Linked DNA regions of Drosophila melanogaster. The protein of the gene in region 1 purifies or fractionates together with the protein of each later gene. This does not show direct contact. Each region holds a gene or a part of one and is shown in the gene's direction. Other genes may lie near its edges. The genes, in order: CG1513 and GAPcenA.

Evidence for each region.
Region 2: the proteins of CG1513 (region 1) and GAPcenA purify together in Drosophila melanogaster (affinity purification with mass spectrometry, with the first as the bait; one large-scale study listed by BioGRID). This does not show direct contact.

What each region holds. Positions count from the first base shown.
Region 1 is NT_033778.4:9,886,493-9,894,943, reverse strand, and holds the start of CG1513 (uncharacterized protein), read left to right. Parts: upstream 1-3,254; 5' UTR 3,255-3,541; coding exon 3,542-3,709; intron 3,710-3,802; exon of another isoform or gene 3,803-3,864; coding exon of another isoform or gene 3,865-4,199; intron 4,200-4,257; coding exon of another isoform or gene 4,258-4,504; intron 4,505-4,563; coding exon of another isoform or gene 4,564-4,657; intron 4,658-4,783; coding exon of another isoform or gene 4,784-4,892; intron 4,893-4,948; coding exon of another isoform or gene 4,949-4,964; exon of another isoform or gene 4,965-5,066; intron 5,067-5,208; coding exon 5,209-5,337; intron 5,338-5,458; exon of another isoform or gene 5,459-5,819; coding exon 5,820-6,056; exon of another isoform or gene 6,057-6,129; coding exon 6,130-6,207; exon of another isoform or gene 6,208-6,222; coding exon of another isoform or gene 6,223-7,194; exon of another isoform or gene 7,195-7,296; intron 7,297-7,534; coding exon 7,535-7,778; intron 7,779-7,889; coding exon 7,890-8,013; intron 8,014-8,451. Other genes in the region: tea (telomere ends associated), read right to left, coding at 1-197, 253-996, 1,064-1,102, 1,155-1,988, 2,042-2,356, 2,411-2,835; CG30008 (uncharacterized protein), read right to left, coding at 3,865-4,199, 4,258-4,504, 4,564-4,657, 4,784-4,892, 4,949-4,964; CG12923 (uncharacterized protein), read right to left, coding at 6,223-7,194.
Region 2 is NT_037436.4:8,344,843-8,356,341, forward strand, and holds GAPcenA (GTPase activating protein and centrosome-associated), read left to right. Parts: upstream 1-1,718; 5' UTR 1,719-2,327; coding exon 2,328-2,634; intron 2,635-2,698; exon of another isoform or gene 2,699-2,932; coding exon 2,933-3,211; intron 3,212-3,413; coding exon 3,414-3,597; intron 3,598-3,659; coding exon 3,660-3,847; intron 3,848-3,906; coding exon 3,907-5,003; intron 5,004-5,057; coding exon 5,058-5,246; intron 5,247-5,305; coding exon 5,306-6,025; intron 6,026-6,084; coding exon 6,085-6,537; coding exon of another isoform or gene 6,538-6,546; exon of another isoform or gene 6,547-6,882; intron 6,883-6,924; coding exon 6,925-7,092; 3' UTR 7,093-7,437; downstream 7,438-11,499. Other genes in the region: CG7182 (uncharacterized protein), read right to left, coding at 1-1,227; Culd (CUB and LDLa domain), read right to left, coding at 7,687-8,570, 8,637-9,341, 9,400-9,768, 10,302-10,706, 10,770-11,100, 11,163-11,366.

The sequences.
Region 1 (8,451 bases):
GAATAACCTCATCCTTGGATTTTCCTCTATACTCAACGCACTTCTGCATATTATTAGCAATATCATCTAGATTGCTCACATGACTTTTGAACAGCTCTAAGGATACAGGGTATGGTGGACACTCTTCTCCGGGCTTGTCGTCATTAGAACTAGGCGTCCTTGTGGATGGTATACTTTCATGTTCAGCTATTGGTCTGCTGGAGTCATGACTTATTACTATTATATCTGAAAACAAATATATGTTTAACTTACTTCTCTTCGGTGATATTTTGCGTTTCTCGTACTACATTTCTGGATGACTGCAGACAACTTTCATCGCTTAGGTTTTCTGTGGTACAAGCCACCTGGCAATTTGGATTCTTTGGGGGTAGCTCCTTGTTTTTCGGTGGAAAACTTAACAATTGTCTTATTTTTTTGCTGGGACACGGTTTAAATCGGCACTCGAACTTCTCCCTCATGTCTGGTCCAGAATAGAAGCCCTCGTAGTAGTCCTGAATTACCTCCTCCTTGCTTTTTTCTTTGTACTCATCGCATTTTTGCATCTCATTAACAATATCATCGAGATTGCTCACATGACGTTTGAACATCTCTAAAGAAATGGGATTTGGTGGACAATTTTCTGTTGTTGTTTTAGGAGTGAAAGGTACCTGGGACTTGGATTCGTTTACTGCTTTTGCATTATCTGTTCGATTCATTGTAAAAAGAGCCTTTTCATCAAGTGGCTTAGCTTTTTGTTTTAGCTTAGCCAGCATCTTAGGATTGGGGCAATTGAATTTGTACTTGAATCTTTGACGAACATCATTGCGTGCATAAAATTTATTGTAAAACTGGCGGAAAAATTTTTTGCATTGTGGGTGCGAAGGATCAGAAATTAATTTTGACAGTTGATGTTCGTCTTTAATGTGATTATTTACTAGAATTGCTCGGATAATCTCGTCATAGTTAATATATTGCCGAAAAGTTTCAAGTGATACGGGAAAAATAAAGCGCCCATGTCTAAAAAATTTTTTTTGAAAATTGTTACTTAAAAATTTAAAAAAATGGTAATTTATATTTTTCTTACTTTTTAAGGTCCACTTCAACATCCGTCACAAAGGAAGTCCTAAAATTGTGGTTTTAAAATTATGAAAACAATTCAGGTTACGCTAACTTACTCATATACATCGGTAGAATCTGTGATCTCTTCAGGTTTGGCTGGGGTCTCGTCCGAAGCTCTGGTTTTTGAAGCAGGACTCTCTGGTGTCTTGGACATGGGCACTTCGAAACCTGACGGAGGAATCTCTAACTGGGGCGCTCTATCTGATTGTTCTTCGGCAACCTCCTTGCTCTGATGGGGTTTAACTTGGGGACTTAAGACTTCAGATGACTTCTCAGGGGCTTTCGAACTGTGCAGATGGCGTTCTGGCGAAGCTAATGCCGGCATACATCTGCTTAGTTTGTTGGCATCGTTCCTGAGATTAGCTTGGTTTTCGAAAGTTTCTAAAGTATTATGTGAACTCGATAGCCCTTCAGTCGTGCTAATAGCTCCCGCAGCACAATTCTCTGGCGAAAGAGTAGCTAACTGGGACAGACCTTCACTCGGTTCGTGGGCAACCTCCATGCTGGGACTGGTTTGGATTTGTGAAGAGCCACTGGTATTCTGCGACCCTAATGACCCTTTGCTCTCAGTAATATATGAAGTGTTGGGCCTGCGCGAATCAAGTCCTGGCGAGGGATTAGCTAACTGAGGGAGGCTTTTCCTAAGCTTTTCGGCAATATCTTTGCCGAGAATGGACAGCATGCAGGCCTTGAAAGTCGACGTGCAAGGTTTTAATTTGTATGCGTATTTATATCGGATCCTCGGAGTAATGTAAAACGCCAGGTAATAGTCAAGGGCACATTCCTGGACATCCTTGCTCGCATAATTAGCATCCAGTTGCCTCATTTGCTCCACAATGTCCGATAAGTTTGCCATATTTTTCTTAAATACCTCGAAGCTGACGATGGAACTGTGAAATATTTATAGTAAACAACGAGTATTTGGAAAGTGTCCCAAACTTACTTTTTCGTAAGGGATTTCATTGCAGTAAGCTCCGCCACAGTCTTGACCGCTTTTTTGTCCAGTGGTTTCCCAGATTCAAGCAACTTTTCCAAAGGGATTTCTGTAGTTGCATTGAAGATATTCGTAGGGGATCGCTTTTCTGGATACATGTAAAAGCGGTTGTAGAACCTTTGTAGTGTAAGAAGACGACGCTCATCGTCGGACAAGAGGACCAGGCAGTGTTCTATGCTCCTGACAATTTTTTTGAACAGTAACATCTTATTGATGCACTGTAGGAATACATCAAAGGATACCGGAAAGATGAAGGCGCCACATCTGAAATGAGTCAAAATTGGTTAATCTGCTCTGCTCGAAAATAATATTACCCACCTCTCCACATTAACAATTACGTCTGGAGATTCCGATCCTGATGGTTTACATTCAACTGCAACGCCTTCAACTGCATCATGGGACTTCGCGGTTTCAGCGAGCGTCGTCAACTGGCTGCCTTCAACTAAGACTTCGGGTTGCTCTACTTGAGATGGTCCTGCAGCTGCTACGTTTGCAACATCGTTTTGTGAAATTCCTCCTGGCTCCGGTACTTTAAGCAAGTTGTCGCGTGTCCGCCTGGGACACGGCGCCACCTTGACAGGGAACCTTGCCCGTATGCTGGGATTCCGGTAGAACTCTTTGTAGTACCATCTGCTCCACTCGACCAACGTTCTATTGTCTCCATTGGCAGTTTTCAACTCACTTGCAATTTCAGACAAATTAACGATTAACTTTTGAAATGCCGCAAAGGACACTGGATACATGTTGCTCCTGAAATCAAACAATATTTAATGTTAAGATGTAAAAGATTCACAGTAACCTTACGACTTGTTCTATGCAAGTAACGTTATTTGTTGTTTATCATAAACATCACATTTCAATACCGCGAAATAAACTAGGCTGAATATCACAGTGTGACTGTGCTGCAAAATGACAATATTTATCGATAGCGAACGACTAAATATTTTCACTACGAGAACTCGAACTTACTTAAAATTTTACAAGCCAGTTAATACTTTTGTGCTTTATTGTTTATTGTTTATTTATTTATTGTGCTGATTTAAACAGGGTTATAATTTCATAGCTAGCTAATTTTACATGTTATGATTTTCCAAATGACTCCAAATTTGTAAGGTGTGCTAGGTATAGTAGGTGGTATATTCCAGCGGTCGCCGCACGGTCACACTCGAGCTGCGATTCGGAGGGCTAGAAAATCATCGATGTTTACGTACATCGATAGTTGGCAGGGCTTTGCTTTGTTTTGCAAATTCCAAGCGGAGTTGAGGCTGTGACAGATTGCGGGTGCGAGTTGTGAAGCAACATTGCGTCATCATCAGCTCCTGGACAGAAAAGAGCTCAGGGAACGAGGCAGGTCCGCGCCCGGGGACAAGGAAAGCCTTTAGCCACGAGGACGCAGAGGGATCAAAGGCGGAGGAGGAGGCGGTGGCCGTGTCACGGGAGCTGGATCAAATGGCCAGCACCACTGGAAGTGCCCCCAGCCTGGGACCCCCCCAGAGCGGGAGTGGTGGCTCTGGCACATTGGAGGGCACGCTAAGCAAGTGGACGAATGTGATGAAGGGCTGGCAGTACCGCTTCTTCGTTCTGGACGAGAATGCTGGACTGCTGTCCTATTACACGGTGAGTGGCTGCAGTGCACCTCCTGACTGAAACCCATATCGCACCCAGAACGAACTCCTCATGGCCCGCAGCCTTATCTTATCTGCTATAGATACATTTGGATACACATACACACTTGTTGGTACCCCTTTATTGCGTGATTTGTTGACAGGAGATTACTTTTTTGAGTCTGACTGAGGGGTCTGACTCTTGCGCCGCTGCGAGGCTTGATAGGCACTATTATAGAAGTCGTAAAAGCCGTAGAACATGCCAAGAATGACGGTGGTGAAGTAGAGAAGCACTAAGGGCGGCATGCCGCACAATACCAGCTGGAAAGCAACCTGCGTGAGGATAAGAACGAACTGCGTCATCTGAATCACTGTGATGCACTTCTTCACTGGAGTTAGGGCCTGCACCAAGGTCTTATCCGCCACTGCCGCCACAAAGTAGTACGAGTACATGATAACGTGAACGATAGAATTCAAGAACACGCAGAAGTAAGCAGCAGAACCTGTACAATTGAACGCATTTATGAAAATAGTCGGTCACCCAGCAGCCGGCTAGCTTACCATTTTCGTTGAAGTTGATCAGTGCGTAGACCAGCGTTACCGTGGAGAAGTGATGAAAGATGTGCAGCTTGGACACCTGGTTTTGTTTCTTGCGAAGCACAAAGATCACGGTTTCAATCAGCTCAGAGATCTTCAGCCAGAAGAGAAAGTAGGCCAAGTTGTAGTACCGCCTCACGAGCTCTGGGCTGCTCCCGATGTCGCGGCACTTCCAAAAGATGTATATGGTGTTGTCCGTAATGTACAGGACCTGCGAGAGAAAAGCAATTAGCCGATGCTGCTGCTGCTGTACAATTTATAAATATCCACCTCTTTGATAGCATATATGCAGGAAACCACCTGGATGAAATTATGTAGCAAGATAAGTCGCTTGAGCTCGTAAGGTTTGCGCCATTCCATGAAACTATAAGCGAGGTATTAAAGGTCTTCTTTCTTATATAAGTAAGCCAGCGAACCCGCTGAATTGCTAATGTCAAGTCCACTGACCCACATGCAAACAAGCGACGCTGACATTAGCATGTGAACTTACTGCGGACCCGCTTTGGTGACGAAGTACAGATAGAGGACCAGCACTGTGATCATGTACCAGGGATCCTTATAAATCGTAGGAACGTTCACCACCGGCTGCAAATTTATACCTACAATTTTATTGAAACCATCAGACAGTTTTTTGACAAATCCAAGAGGAGCTCACTTGCTGACGCCTCCATTTCGCTTCTTTGTGTTGAGCTTCCGCTGGCCTGTATCCTTTAGGTGGCGTGGGACTGGTGGACTGCAGCTCTACCGCCTTGACCGCTGGCGAACATTTAAGCGTGAACAGCACGCCGAACACTGTTTTTATATTCCCCAAGCATTGATTAGAATACATTAATTTATAGCAGGCGTAATAGCCCTTTGACAGTATGAGCTGCGATTTAATGAACTTTCCTAATTCCGACTGCATTTCTGTTACAGTCGAAGGATAAGATGATAAAGGGCGTGAGGCGCGGTTGTGTTCGTTTAAAGGATGCGCTAATCGGAATCGACGACCAGGAGGACAACACATTCACAATCACTGTGGACCATAAGACCTTCCACTTTCAGGTAAGTGTCTCCTTAGTAAATGGAAATAAAGATTGTCTAAGGAAAGCTTGATCAATGTTTTGCAGTTTCACTAATAGTTCATAATTCACCGTAATAGTTTAAGTACGACGTTGTTTGTTTTATGAACTGAAGAACCAACTCATTTTAAATTCCACACTTGCATTGATTTTTTATGACGTCTAGTGGTATACGTAAGCAAAAACTATGTAGATCAAGAGGGCAGCACGTTTCTTTTTGCAATTCGCGTTTTCGTCCCAAAAGATATAAAGCAAGCATGATGGCCTATCCGCTTTGCTTGCCAAGAGTTTTCGTCCTCTTACCGGAAAAGGGTATCCGGGCATCGACCCAGAAACCACTGTCTGGTCCTCACGTTCCACCTTTTGTTTGACTTTGTTGCCTTGATGTAACGATAAAACTTTTTCCAATACCCATACACAAGCAAAGGAGCCCACTAAACTTGCCAACTTTCCAAACGCTTGCAGGCGCGACACAACGAGGAGCGGGAGCAGTGGGTGCGCCGCCTGGAGGACACCATTCGACGCCACGCGAACCGGTCGCGTCTGTGGGACAGCCAAAGCGCTTTCTACATCGCCGGTGGCTACACGAAGGAAGGGGGCGGGAGCGGAACAGGCGGCAGAAGACCCAACCACCTGGAGTTGGTGGCGCGCCGTGTTTCCGAGGCAGATGCCTACCTCCAGCTGATGATTGAGCAAACGAACGTGAGTATTGTGCCACGTAATGCAGGCATTATGCAATTTATTGTCATTTTTTCTTGTTCTCTGTCCTGCCCAGTTACTGGACAAACGCATCGCGGAGCTGACCGATCCGGCGGAGCAGTCTAAGTGCAAGGCACTCCAGGACAACGCAAATGTAAGTAAGCAGAGGTTACACGTTTCCCTCGGACTCAGTAACTACAACCTCCAGGTGGAGTTCGTCACGAAAGTTGTTTGAGAGTTTCTCCACTTCGGCGTACGTCAGACGCCAGTAACTTTCGTCGACTGCCATGTAATAGTCCGCGTCCCGGTTATTATTAACCTTTCGAACACCTAAAACACAGCTGGTTCTTAGTGCAACATCTCTTCCATAGAGACTGAGCGTAACGTTCAACTGCAGTCCGTCGCTGGGTGTAACCAGCCAGAGGACGAACTCACTGTTTCTGTGGCTATCTGGTGAACGCCTATTCCGCAGAGCCGTATTGGGCAATGTCTGGGAAATTAGCACCACCAACGGGATGTGACTATCCAGGTGCGAGTGTTGGTTCAGCGGGAAGCTGTTATAGGGCTCACATTGCCGCTGGGATATCAATAACTGTTGTGCATTGTAAGCCAGGAGTCCCAACACCTGATTATCAGGATTCTTACAGCTCGTCGGCTTAAAAGAAAGCACAGCCCGTTCATGTTTCACTACGGGAAGAAAGCGCTGAAAGGAAGCTTCCTTGTTCTCATGATCACATAGGTAGTGCAGCAAAAGCAACTGGCTGTCTATTCGCCTTTGGCAGCCCTCAAAGAGACATTTTTTTACCTCGGACTTTATCAAGAGCTTGTTGGGTATGGTATCTTCGTCCTTCAAAGGGACTTGTCCTTCATCTGGAGGAGCAGCCTCAATGGTACCGAACATCGACTGAGACATTAGCTTTCCCTGATGCAGCTGAACCTTCTGCTGGTCATCCAGCTGTTGCATTCCAATGCGAAGTGTTTCCATATTTTCGTTGAGCTCCTTGATATCCGCTTTCAAATTGAACATGGTGTTCACCTTGTTCTTCAGCTCCAAGTGCGCTTCCTCACGCTTCTTTTTATACTCTTCGAATTGGTCGCACAACTTGTCGGCGCTGTGGATCTTTGGGTCCAGAAACTCCATTGCGGATTAGCTCTAATTGTAGCCTTTAAACCTTAAATGTAATTCGATTTCCTTGAAATGCTGGGAATTTAGAGAATTCGGATACGGGATTGTGTGTTTTTGTTTTCCCAGTGAAGTTTTTGGTTGGAATCGTATATCCAGGCCCACTGGGCCACCCACTCATATCGATTTCCAATGCAAGTTCAGGGTTAAGAGGCGGCCAGATGCAAAAGCCTGAGAGAATGTCAATCGACCGGCAGCTGTCCACCCATGGCAGCTGCTCACTTCGTCTGCAAACTTTGGCAAAGCCAAACCACTTTTTTCACCACTCCCGTTGGCTAATACGTAGTTCTCATTTCAGGCCATGCTGGATCACATTAAGCACTCGATTGTCAGCCTGCAGATTGCCAAAAACATGGCCCACCCAATAAATGGAATCTACAACGGTCCACCGGCCACGGCCTCCACTAGTTCCTCAACCAGTGGAGTTGCCATGGGCAGTTGTAACAACGTCCAGGCAGGTGGCCTTAAGGTGCCGCTAGAAGGTCAAGTAATAGGCAAGGGTGAGCTGGTGGACGACGAGGAAGACTCGGCCACTGAGAACGGTGAGTGCTCTTGGCCAAGCAACTGGTCATCGAGCCAGGGTCAAGCGGTTCGAAATCAATGCGAAAGCTCAATTTGCATTACCCCCGATAATCTGGCATTAATCTTGGCAGCCACCACCGCTCCTTTGGGTTTAATTGTGCCAGCGACCTCATACTCGAGCAGCGAGGGCGAGGAGGACTTCTACGATGCCTACGACGATCCCTTCACCAGCATTGGCAGCTCCCCGATTGGCTGGTAAGTAGACCACTTGTGCAGGTCTTACAAGTAGCAACTAAGACATGCCCTTGACCAAGTGCGCCGACTGGCCATCAATCAGATGCGATGCGGCAGCCGGCAAGCGTGCTATGTTATGTGTGATGTGTGCTGCGTGCTAATATTACGCATTCATTGCCCACAGTCCGGAACCCCCCGCTTCGGCTTTGCTACTCCTCCTTCTCCTTTGGAAAGGCGCATGCGCCTAAGCAGCGCATGCAAAATGCAATGCCCGAAGTTCGTCGCAGTCGTAGTTTCGGGGCAGCCTGTAATTTCTGCCAAGTCGCGTGTAAATAATAAATACAAAACCTTCTCCTCCGCCTCAACGGGCTCCCTTCGAAGCTTTGTTGGCACAGCTGACAACGCTTTGTCGTCGGCGACTCGCTTCGTCATCGACATCCTTCGGCCTAGTCGTAGCTA
Region 2 (11,499 bases), on another chromosome or scaffold:
CTCCTCCTTGTGAAGCTGCTGTTCGAGGGGGTCAATCAGGCACACAGCTTGGCGCGCGCAGCCGATGGCCACAACCTCGTCCGCCGAATGGCTGTTGTGGAGCTTGGCATCCGGGAAGCGGGCTCCCACTGCCGCCTGAAGCTTGGGGATTTGCATTGTGGCGCCTAGTAGAACGATGTCATCTATTTTACTCAACCCGGGATGCTCCTTTTGCGCCTGCTCCACACACTCGCCTAGCTGCTGGATGAGGTTATTGATCACTGGCTGTATGAGGCTCTCGAAGCGAGCACGCGACATCTGGGCATTGTAATCAACGCCGTCCATCAGGGAGTCGATATAAAGTTGCGTGGAAGGCATCGTGGTCAGGATGTGTTTGCAATTGGCGGCGGCAGTGCGTATTTTGGCCACTGAGCGGCGAGACTCATGCGGATCTAGCTTGTACTTGCGACGGAACTCCTCGCAAATAAACTGCACCAAGGCCTCGGTGAATTGCCGGCCACCGATGGGGAAGGGTCCGAAAGTGGCCAGCTGAACGAACAGGCCATTTTGGACGGAGTAGAATGCGATGTCGCTATATAAGCCACCGCATTTGATTGTCAGCACATGGCGGCGCTGTTCCGTCTGCTCCTCGCCGATGCTATAGCCTAGAACGGCGGCCGTGGGTTCGGTTATAATCTGGGCCACATGGAAGCCAGCGGTTTGAGCGGCATCTGCTAGCAGTTTGTAGGCCGAGGCGGGATAGTAGCTGGGTATGGATAGCACGGCAATGGGCGCCTGCTCCCCGTCCGTGTGATATTGATGGGCCAGCTCCAGCTCAGCGCGCAGCAGCTCCACCGTCACCTGATAGGCGCTGAGGTCCTTGGTCACAACTCTATCGTCTTGGTCCTCCCTGTCGGAGGGTACAGTGTGCTCCATCCGGAACACCAGCTCCTCCTTGTCAAAGTCGCAGGGTATTTCACGCAGCGCACTGGACAGTTTCTCCTCCGTGAGCTCTTCCTTGGGCTGAAGCAACTGAAAGCTGTGCGCCACCGCCTGGCGCGGACGGTTGGCCATCTTCTGCTTGGCCGTGAGGCCACATTCGATCTCCGAGGCTCCGTCCCAGAGAAGGCACGCTTGGGACACTCGGTCGCCCTGTTTGTTGGCGATCACCTCCGCCTTGCCATCCGCGCGCACATGGGCGATGCAAAGCGTGCTGTTGCCAATCTTAATGCCAAATCGCGGCCACATCTTTTGGGAGTCGGAATCGGAGTCAGAAGTACCCGGACTTAAGGAATTATCTTAACAAAATGCAACGAATAAACGCGCACGTTTTTTTCCAGCACGCGCGGTAGTGTTGTGTAGCAGAGTATTTGGCAACACTGGCGGGGTATTATGTCACGGCGATGACACTTTTTCGATATGTACTATATGTTTAATATGTTCTCAATATTTTCCATACATCACATACCTTTATAGATTTGGTTCTTTGAATTACAATTTAAAAATTTATTTATATTTATTTAAATTTATTCAAGACAAGTCATTTCAGTCAAAGACAACTTTGTAATGCTATTGGATTATTTAGATTGCCATATAAGCATATGGCAATATGCATAGAAAAGAAAATAACTAGTCGATTAAGTCGATAGGTACACTTATTAACACTTTCAAAAGAAGTATTGAATAACGTTAAAGCAGCTGTTTCCTTTCGATAGGAATCGACCTACTGCAGGTCATCACTAGCAAAAAAATATGTAAACAAAACAGACGGAAAATTGCAAGAAAATTGCTAAAAACCCGATAAAAACACAACAATAAAGGGTCAAAACAATGTACTACAGTTCTGCGGAGTGTAGGCTATAATATAAAAACCAAAGTGTAAGCTCAAAGCAGCTGCACGCACTAAAATAACAAAAAAATCCATAGGAATCCAAGCGCAGAGGCTACAGAGACAAACTGTTGACCCCGCCGACCCCACCGTCCACCACCCCCTTGAAGGCCCAACCCCTCCAGTTCCCACGCGAATTGGGCACTGTGTGACATACATGCGCGTGTGTGTACGCCCCCAAAACGCCAAGCAAACCGTACCGATTCGTCATCGATTTACGGCGGAACCAAGCCAAACAATGCGACTCCGCTGAAAATTGGACAAATTGAAAACGAAATCTATTAAAAGCGAGTGCGAGTACGAGTGCGTGGCCTTGGAACAGAAATTGATTTGTTTACCTGCCCTGAAAATGCGCAATTCGTAGGGCTTAAGAATAAAGAAAGTCCGAATATATCACACACACAACAAAGAGTAACCCATTTGGGAGTGCCTGGAACTGAGGCAACCTTGAGTGTTCGGAATGGATGATAATCTGAGCACCAAGTCCTCGGAATCCTCGATAACAACCAGCGGGGAGTACGAAATAGTTACCGACAGCAATGTGGCCAGTCCCATGGAGCAGGTGAAGCAGGTTGTCAACCAGGAGGGAACTCAGCCTGAAGTGGGTGGCAAACCGCCCACTTCGCTGAGTGCTCTGGCTCTGTCCTCCCCCGAGGCTGGGGGAGATCGCTCGCCCACTCTGGACATGGCCCACAATCGCAACCTAAGCGACATGCAGCACGAGATGACGGACGCCCTCAAAGATCTGGAGTTGGAACGCGGCGTAGGTGAGTAAAGAAACACAACTGAGAGGGTGAATTGGGTTGCCCTGGGTAGCCTAAAGTAAACTCAGTCGTTGCCCAACGCCAGCTGTGCACACAACGTCGCGGTCGCTCCACTATTGGAAACATCAAACGATTGCTAAGCCTAACCAGCTGCAATCTTATCGGCGCAGAGCCGTAGTGCTACGCTGTCATGGAAACAACGACAAACAAACCGAATAATAATACTTTCCTTAAACAAAATTCCGCATAATTCGGCATTTGTTATTGCTCGTCGCGTAATTGACAATTAACATATTTGCAGCTGCCAGTGGGGAGAAGTCAGCGCAACGTCTCCCGAGTCATCAGCAAAAGTCCCTGACCCTACCGCTCACGGGCTCCGGCGGGGGATCTGTCGATCCCGAGATGCGTTTCCCCTGCACCTTGTTCACGCCCAAAAGCGAGGAGACCCTCGACGATGCATCCAGCTCAAACAGAGTGGGTCATTCAGTGTTCTATGACTGCATAGACGCTAGCCCCGCCTGCGTGGAGGAAAAACAGGATGCCATGAAGCCGGAGAAGGGCGACACCACCGACGAGGAGGGTGAGTAGATCTCTTAAGTTAGTTAAAATCCCAAAAATTAAGGGGTACATTTGCCTATAAATTCTGTTCATTTTACGAAAGCCTATATACTCACAGAGTTCTTTATTATTTGTTCTATATTGTGTTCCTAGGCTCCTAAAGCTGAAATCTATGTTTAGTGTAATTATTGAAATTTAATTGACCATGTGTTTTTCACTTTCAGTTTCTGAAATCGATCAGGGCTGCACCATATTTTCCGGAGTCACCTACCTGGGCGCAGCCAACATTAATGCCCCAAAATCCGAGACGGAGGTTTATCGCATCATGGGCGAGCTAAATAGTGGCTCAAAGTCGGTGGGCCTGAAGATCACTGTGAGCATACCCAATTGCTCAGAAGGCCTGGTTGTGTGAGTAAAGTTTTTACTGCCCCTTGAATTACTCACTGAGCGTCATCATGCTGCTATTACAGCCTCCACGATGCCGAGAGCAATACTATTATTGCCACCTATGAGATATCCAGCATTATCTTGTACTATCGAGGACCAGTGGATACGGTGGAAAACGGATGCTTTGCATTCACTTGGCTTCACGGCGATGCATTGTTTCAGTGCCATGTGTTTCGGTGCCATATTCCCGAAGCGGTTAATCAAGTCAGCGGTGAGTCAGATCATACAGTGATTTCATCCCACCGATTTATTCAAAATCTTCGCCCGCAGCCTGCTTCCAGAAGGCATTCCAGACTTATCCGCCCAGCATGAGTTGCAGCCTTAATTCGGCCGTTGACATGGCCAACTCGGTAACCTCCGATGTAAGCGGAAATCCTTTAAACACGGCTGGGTATGAGTTCATAGTCTCCTTAGAGATCCGTGAGCGAGTGGCAAAGAACTCCTATGCCGCAGTGCCTCGCGATAGGGGATGCTTTAAGCTAAGGGCGAACACAGATAAGGAAGTGTGCATCACAGTCAAACAGACTCCGTCAAATGTTCTTCAACCATTGCATATCGAACGATGTTTCGGTGTTCTAGTGGCACCCGGAAAACTAGTAGTCCAAAAGGATATGCATTTGATCGACATGCACAGCATGGGTTACATTCAGCCCGGCGGAACAGGAGTAGCAACCGAATCGGACAGCAATGCCCAGCAGAGCTCCTCCTGGCCCTATACAATTCGAGCTGAGTGGAAAGCCCAGGAAAAGGCCTTTGAGCAGTTAAATCTTGAGTCGTCAAAGACCAATCTCACTGTGGCCGTAGACATTGTGATGCGACGTATACAGGAACCGGTTAGGTTCGTCATTGAGACCCCAGTGACCATTCAGTCGGCCAGCGAAATGCGTATTATGGACCATTTTATGTCAAAGCGACCCATGACGTTACGATTCTATTTGCATCTAAAGCGGACCGAAGAGTCCAACTGGAAAGTGAATAGCATTGATCCCTCTGAGGAAATAACGGAGCAGCCGGGCCACCAGCAAAGCTCTTCCCTGCTCAAGATGGGTATGAATAATCTATCGCGCATTGTGCGCAGTTCGTCCATTGCCTCGATTGAGGATGATTGTCCCTCGGACTACAGCAGCGATGGGGATGAGCCGCTGCTGAGTGGCACTGGTGAGGTATCTAAGGATTGCTCGCAGGACACGCTCGACGAATGGGATCCCATTCTGCGTGAGTGGGATTCCGAGAAGAGACCGAAAAATCTGGCACCTTTAGTACGCCTCGGCGTTCCAGAAGCACTGCGTGAAAAGATCTGGCAGAAGCTAGCCAACGTCGAGGGCAGAATGGAAATGAACGACAAGTACAAGATCTTAATCACCAAAGTGAGTATAGACGCTATCCATGTGAAAAGAAATTAATTGGAAATTTACTTGTAGGAAACCAAATGTGAGACCGTTATCCAGCGGGACATCCATCGCACTTTCCCGGCGCACAAATGCTTCAAAGAAATTGGCGGTTCTGGCCAAGATGCACTTTTTAAGGTGTCCAAAGCGTATGCCGTTCATGACAGCGAGGTTGGATATTGTCAGGGTCTAAGTTTCATAGCAGCTAGTCTGCTCCTTCATGTAAGTAATGATGATGACAATCTACATCTAAGAATGATTGCTTACACACACATTTTCAGATGCCTGAGGAGGATGCGTTCTGTGTTCTGGTAGCGCTTATGTACGACTATGGGCTCCGTGATCTCTACAAAGCCGGATTCGAGGTCCTTTACCTTCGTCTCTACCAACTGGAGCGACTGATCAAGGATCAGCTGCCCAAGCTGCACGAACACTTCACGGCCTGCGGCATTGAGACGCACATGTACGCCTCCCAATGGTTCCTAACCTTATATACAGCGCGATTCCCATTGTGTTTTGTGTTCCACGTGCTGGATGTGTTTCTACTGGACGGACTACCTGTGCTCTTCCAGGTGGCCGTTACTCTCTTATCAATCTGTGAATCCGACTTGCGGCAACTCGATTTTGAGGGCATTCTAAAGTATTTCCGGGTAACGTTGCCGAAAAAGTGCCGCAGCTCCAGTCAGGCACGCAAGGTGATGAAGCAAGCCTGCGAACGTAAGATAAAAAAACTGAAGCAGTACGAGGAGGAGTTCCTGCTGAAGAAGCAGCACAAGGAGCGCCTGGAGAAGGAGGCACAGATTTACGAGAATCGTTTCGGCGAGGAGAGGCGCAAAATGCAGGCGGAAATCGACGCATTGAACAAACAACTGACTTCCGCCAAGGAGCGAGCTGTTGAGAAGGAGAAGAAGCACACAGGCATTATACAGGAATACAAGCAGATCATCCAGCGCCAAGAGCAGGACATGAACACACTAAGCGAGACTCTAGGAAAAGTGATGGTGAGTATTGTATTGTAATATGAATTTGACGGGATATTCATTTTTCAACTCTCTTTCAGCACATGGTTTCCAATTGCCAGGATTGTCAGCAGCAGATCGACGCCGGCAATGACAACGCTAAGTCAGATGACGGCAAGAACAGGGGGCAAACCGATGCCATGCGGAATGCCAATGAGCATCCACTGGGTCCACTTGATCCGCTAAACGCTGCCTCGCAACGCATCCGCGAACTAGAGCTGGAGCTGGCCCAGGCCAAGCTAGCTCAAGTGGAAGCCGAGTGCAAGAACCAGGACCTGAACCATCAGCTCAGCAATACGCTCAGTGAGCTGCAAACCAACCGCAACAGCTGGCAGCCCTGGCTATCGAAGACCTTCAATTCGCTGCAGGAGAAGGTAACCACGCGAGGCGGCCATCGGGATAATGGTAGTGGCGGACCGATGCCCTCATTCCAATCCTACATGGGCCAGGCGCCAACTACCCTAAGCGAGGCCAGCTCCCCCAGCGGCAATCAGGTAACCTAGAGTCCAGTGATCCGGCCAACTGTTATGACTGAAAGATCTTCAGTTTATTATTTTTAAGTTTTTTATGTATTATTTCTATGATTAAGATATGGGTTATCAGCCCACGAGCTGAGCTCCAGGAATGTTTTCGAAATACTTTATTAATACCCATTACTTATCATTGATTAATTTAATTACGCGCTTAACCTCACACCATGACACACATTGAGAATCTTTATTTAGTCGACTCTATGCAGGCATTGAACCCCTCTGCTGTTTCTGTTAGTACCCTAAAACCCGGGTTGCTTATGATTTTATTGATATTTTGCGTTGCAAATAAAACCCCGTGTATATAACATACTGAATTTGAATCTTTTGGTCCCTCGAATGGCTGCCCAGGAGTACAAGACCTTTGCATTTGCGTCGGTGGGAGGGTCACCGAAGTTGCCCAGCAAATTCCAGGCCACCAAGCTGCGCAACAGCATCGATAGTCTGCGCAATATAGTAGTGCCCCTGGACACTGGCAAAACGCTAGCCGAGAATCTCAAGCAACAGCTGCAGCAGTAGGAAACGATACAGCTACAACGTAGGAGGATCTGGATAGCAGGCAGACCTACGGCATTGACTACGTCTGGTATTATTTATCATATTCGTCTATATATACATATAAAAACGTGCATTTTGATTTCCATATATACGCGAGTAATAGATTTTTATTATTTTGCACTTTGAGGCACCCGAAAGTCAGTGCTGGTCAGGATGTGCCCCGGATCAATTAGTGGGTTGAAGTGAATCTTGGGCGATGGATGTTCGTTGTTGTTTTTTGTGATCTGATCTGGGGCACATATTGATCTGCTCTGGCAAATGCTACACGTATAACGGCTATAAATAAATAAATTAACAAAAAATGCTAATTCATAATGTAATTATTCATTTCTTTTTGCGGTATGGTACATATTATAAAGAATACAAACGTTGCGACCTTTTGGATAAGTCTTGATGAAGTTGAAGTTAATTATTTATTAAGAATTTCAATAAGCTAATAACATTCGAGTAAGAAACAGGCTTATTTATTTATATGTGACTAGAATCCGACCAGAATCACACCAGGCTTTAATACTATCGTTCCACTTGTCCACTCTTCCATTTTGAATCTCCCGCTCAGATGAAGAACAATCGCTGCATTGCCTCGCTCGTTTTTTGTGGCGTCGATACCGCCATTGTCGCGTAGTTCATCAAAAGATCGGCCGACGAGCTGCGCTGCATGAGACGCCTCCTTCCGGCACTGCCACCTCTGGCATTGCTAAAGGATCGGCTCCTCACATGACCCCGATGACGCCTCTTGGGCCGCTGGGCTACGGCTCCAAAGCAGGACACCTGCTGCTCCGCTTCGCTCTCACTTTCGCTGTGATTCGGGTGACTTTCCACTATCACATGGGACTGGAGTGTCTGGTTGGATTGCTCCATCTCCTGGGTAATGGTCTCCGATCCACTTGTGTCCTCGGGCGTCAAGCGAGCTCGTTTGCCCACACTATAACTCGATGGGTCCCTCGACAACTCGGATCCGAAATTACTACTGCTCCGTTCATGTGGAAGATTAGTGCCGTAGCTCAGGAAATCCGGGTACGGCAGATGCAGCTCATCGCTAGTGAATGCTTCAGGAGAGGAGAAGGTATGTCGCAGCCTCCGGACACGGTAACCCCTGCCAGGTGGAACCTGTTGCACCACCAACCACGATCTCTTTAGGAAGGTGTGCTCCGTGCAATTGCTGATTGTCTGCTCCGGACTTTGTTTCTGCAATTGGTTCTGGTCGGTTGTCACAGGACTCTCTGCCGTGGTGGAGGGCAAGCCTAGAGTGAGTGAAATGCTAAGTGAGTCGCCTCCCTGGGTGCACTCATCTGCCGTGCTGCCGGGCGTTGTGGCTGACCCACCTGCTGTGGGTAGTTCACCCCCAGCGGATAACGATGACGGGCTCGTTGAAATCCCCACGGATTGGACCCGCTGCCCTGACTCCTTTGCTGCCGGGAGAGACGTGCCTGCAGTGCCTGCAAGTGGGACTCTGTGGGTAAGTTAGCGACTGCAGGGCGGGATTGGGGGAACTCTCGACCTACCACAAATAGCCGTGGCGAGGAGCATTCGCTGGGCCATCGTCTGGACGTGTTCGGCATCCTCCGTTGTATCCGTGGCAGCCACCGCATGGGTCATTGCCGCCGCCGAGGTACTGGGCTGTTCTTGATCCCTTTCCAGGGTGCAGCTGCGATGCAGTGGGAGTACCGATTGCACGGTGCAATTGCTTGCGGCGCGACTGCAGCTCCGATCTCTAGGCGGAGCTCGACGGGCCCGTCTCTGGCGACGTGGCTCCCGTAGCTCCTGTTGCATTCCTACCTTGATGACCTCCTCGTAATCGGGTGGTGCCTCGTAGCTGGGTGGCTCATCGGGCGTGCGATCCTCGTCCTGGCGATCCAACAGCTCACTGATCGTCTGCAGGTGGCTTTGAAGCTCACGTTGGTGTCGTGCTCTAACCCCCATCCTGTACAGGATCACCATCCAGCCGGACAGCACACCAAATATGCCAAGTGTGCTGATGATAAAGATTCCCGTGGCCGTCTTAAGATCTGGATACTGGTCTATCTTGGGGAAATAATAGTTGGGCTTGTGAGAGTACCAGCGACGATCGTGATGCAGGTGTGCCCAGTCCTCCTCGCAGGAATCCGGCTCATCGCTGCCATCCCCACAATGGTCGAAGCCATCGCAGTGGAGGCGAATGGATATGCAGTGATTGTTCCCGCACAGAAACTCCGAGCCAATATAGCAATCTAAGCAATTCGAATTGGTTAATTAAACATTAAATTTAAATTTTCCAATCGAACTCACTCAAGTAGTTGAACACGCTGTAGACGATGGCCAGCTTGGAGGACATCCCGAATACCCCACGCAGTCGAATGTAGTAGCCATTGAGGATGGGCGCCACATGACTCTCCTTGCTCAGCCCATTGTTCGGCCACATCACATTCTCGATCTCCACGGCATCCGAGGTGGTGCCCTGCCGTATTGTGAGCTCAGATCTGGCGGCCATGCCGTAGAAGTCATCCACTCTCAACGAGATGTGGGTTTTCATCATCATGTAGTTGTTGCCGGGCTTTATAATCCAGATGCAGTCAAACAGCCGCACGTCCGTGGCATTTTCGATCATGTTCATCATGGTGATGGCGCCACCAGGTCCGGTAACCATTCCCCCGCAATCTAGAGGTGTAATAGAGATATGTACATAAGCATTTATTTATGTGCTCTTGCATCATGCATTGTGATCCAACCTGTCGCAATAGTGCATAACCAACCCCATTCCGGATTATATACAAGTATTTGCCAACCACCCTACGGGCAATGATCCAAGAAATCGATTGTCTTACCAAACCGAACCCAACCAGAGTCACCCAGTTTCCACTTCAACGCCTTGCATTGACATTGATATTCGCCAAGTGCCCACCCCACCCACTACCTTCGCCAAAATCAATATGACAATTGCCTGCAGACTTTCAAGTGCTCGACTAATCCGAAAATCATTAAAATGTCCCTATTCCTACAGAGAAAAGATATACTAATCCATTTAAAAAGTTAATCAATCTGCGAGTTCTAAAATGAAGATAAGCATAATGTTCTATACTTTTAAAAACCTCGAATTTTTTAATCCTGCGGAATATTTGTGTTTTAACCTTAGATCTGAGTTGTTTGATAGTCTTAGTTTTTGTTCAGTGCACTGCAACCCATTCACTTACCTGTGTAGGGCACCAGTCGCTCGTCCTTGAGCTGCTTGGAGGATACGAAGCTAACCTCCGCGCGAAAACCCACTCCGGTGGCGGAATTTCCTCGAAACTGCAGGAGCAGAGACTTGCCGCTGCTCACCGTGATCGGCGGACGGAAGTGCTCACCCGTATAGGAGTCCAGCATCTGGCCATTGGAGTCGAAGATCTCTAGGGTGGAGGTGAGGCCCAGCTGGAAGTCGGTAAAATCCAAACGCACCTGGCAGTTGTCCGCCTCGCAGGTGAGGATGTGTTCGATACCATAGTCGCGTGGATATGCCATCGGGAAATACGGCGTGGAGATCACTTGTGGCTGGGACTTTGTACTCCCATTGCCCACAATAGACTGCTTGGGGGAGCCACTGACTATCCGCACGTTGCCTATTCCGAGGGAAATCCGGATAGAGCATTCTTAAAAACCTACCAACTGATTCTAAATCTTACGTTCCGAGAAGTATTGAAGGGAGAACACGTGCGCATTGCTGGCTCTGTAGAAGAATTTCAACTGCAGTGTCCTGGTTTTGCTCCGAAACACCTTGCCATCTCCACAGAACTCTTGGCCGGAAATGGTGGAATCATAGGGCGGCTCCGAGAACTGGATATGCTCGCAGGGACACATGCTGGACTTGCCACCCGTATTGCCGCAACTTTTGGAGAAGTTGGCATAGGTGAAGGCCACTCGGATGACGCACTCGGCACAGGTGACCAGCTCCAGGCTGCACTGGTACCACACATCCCCGGCCACTGCATCGTTCTTAAAAACCAGCGGCGAGCTCTGTTTTTAAGTTCATAATTGCTGACCAAATCCCGTCTGGAGAAGCTTGTAAATACACTTACTCTATAGGCAGTAGTAGTCACATTCCTGGCGTGCACCTCTCCAGCTGGACTTCCCAGTTCCAGGAAGTGACGTCTTCCGTCCCAATGATTGCATATATCCAGATCCCGGTAGCTACTGCTGGCGGGATACGCCTCTCCTGGCCAGCAGAGCAGGCAGATCACGTAGGCCAGCAGGTAGCCATAGCCCAATGCTTCGGCTAGCATCGATAGTTTCGTCCTTCTAACAGGATCCTGAGCCCCTTCCGCTTGAACCGTCTCGGTCTGGTGCCGCCAAGTGTTAGAACACAACTGTGGCCATTTCGCTGGCAAATCCAATAAACCCAGAGCCATCAGAAGC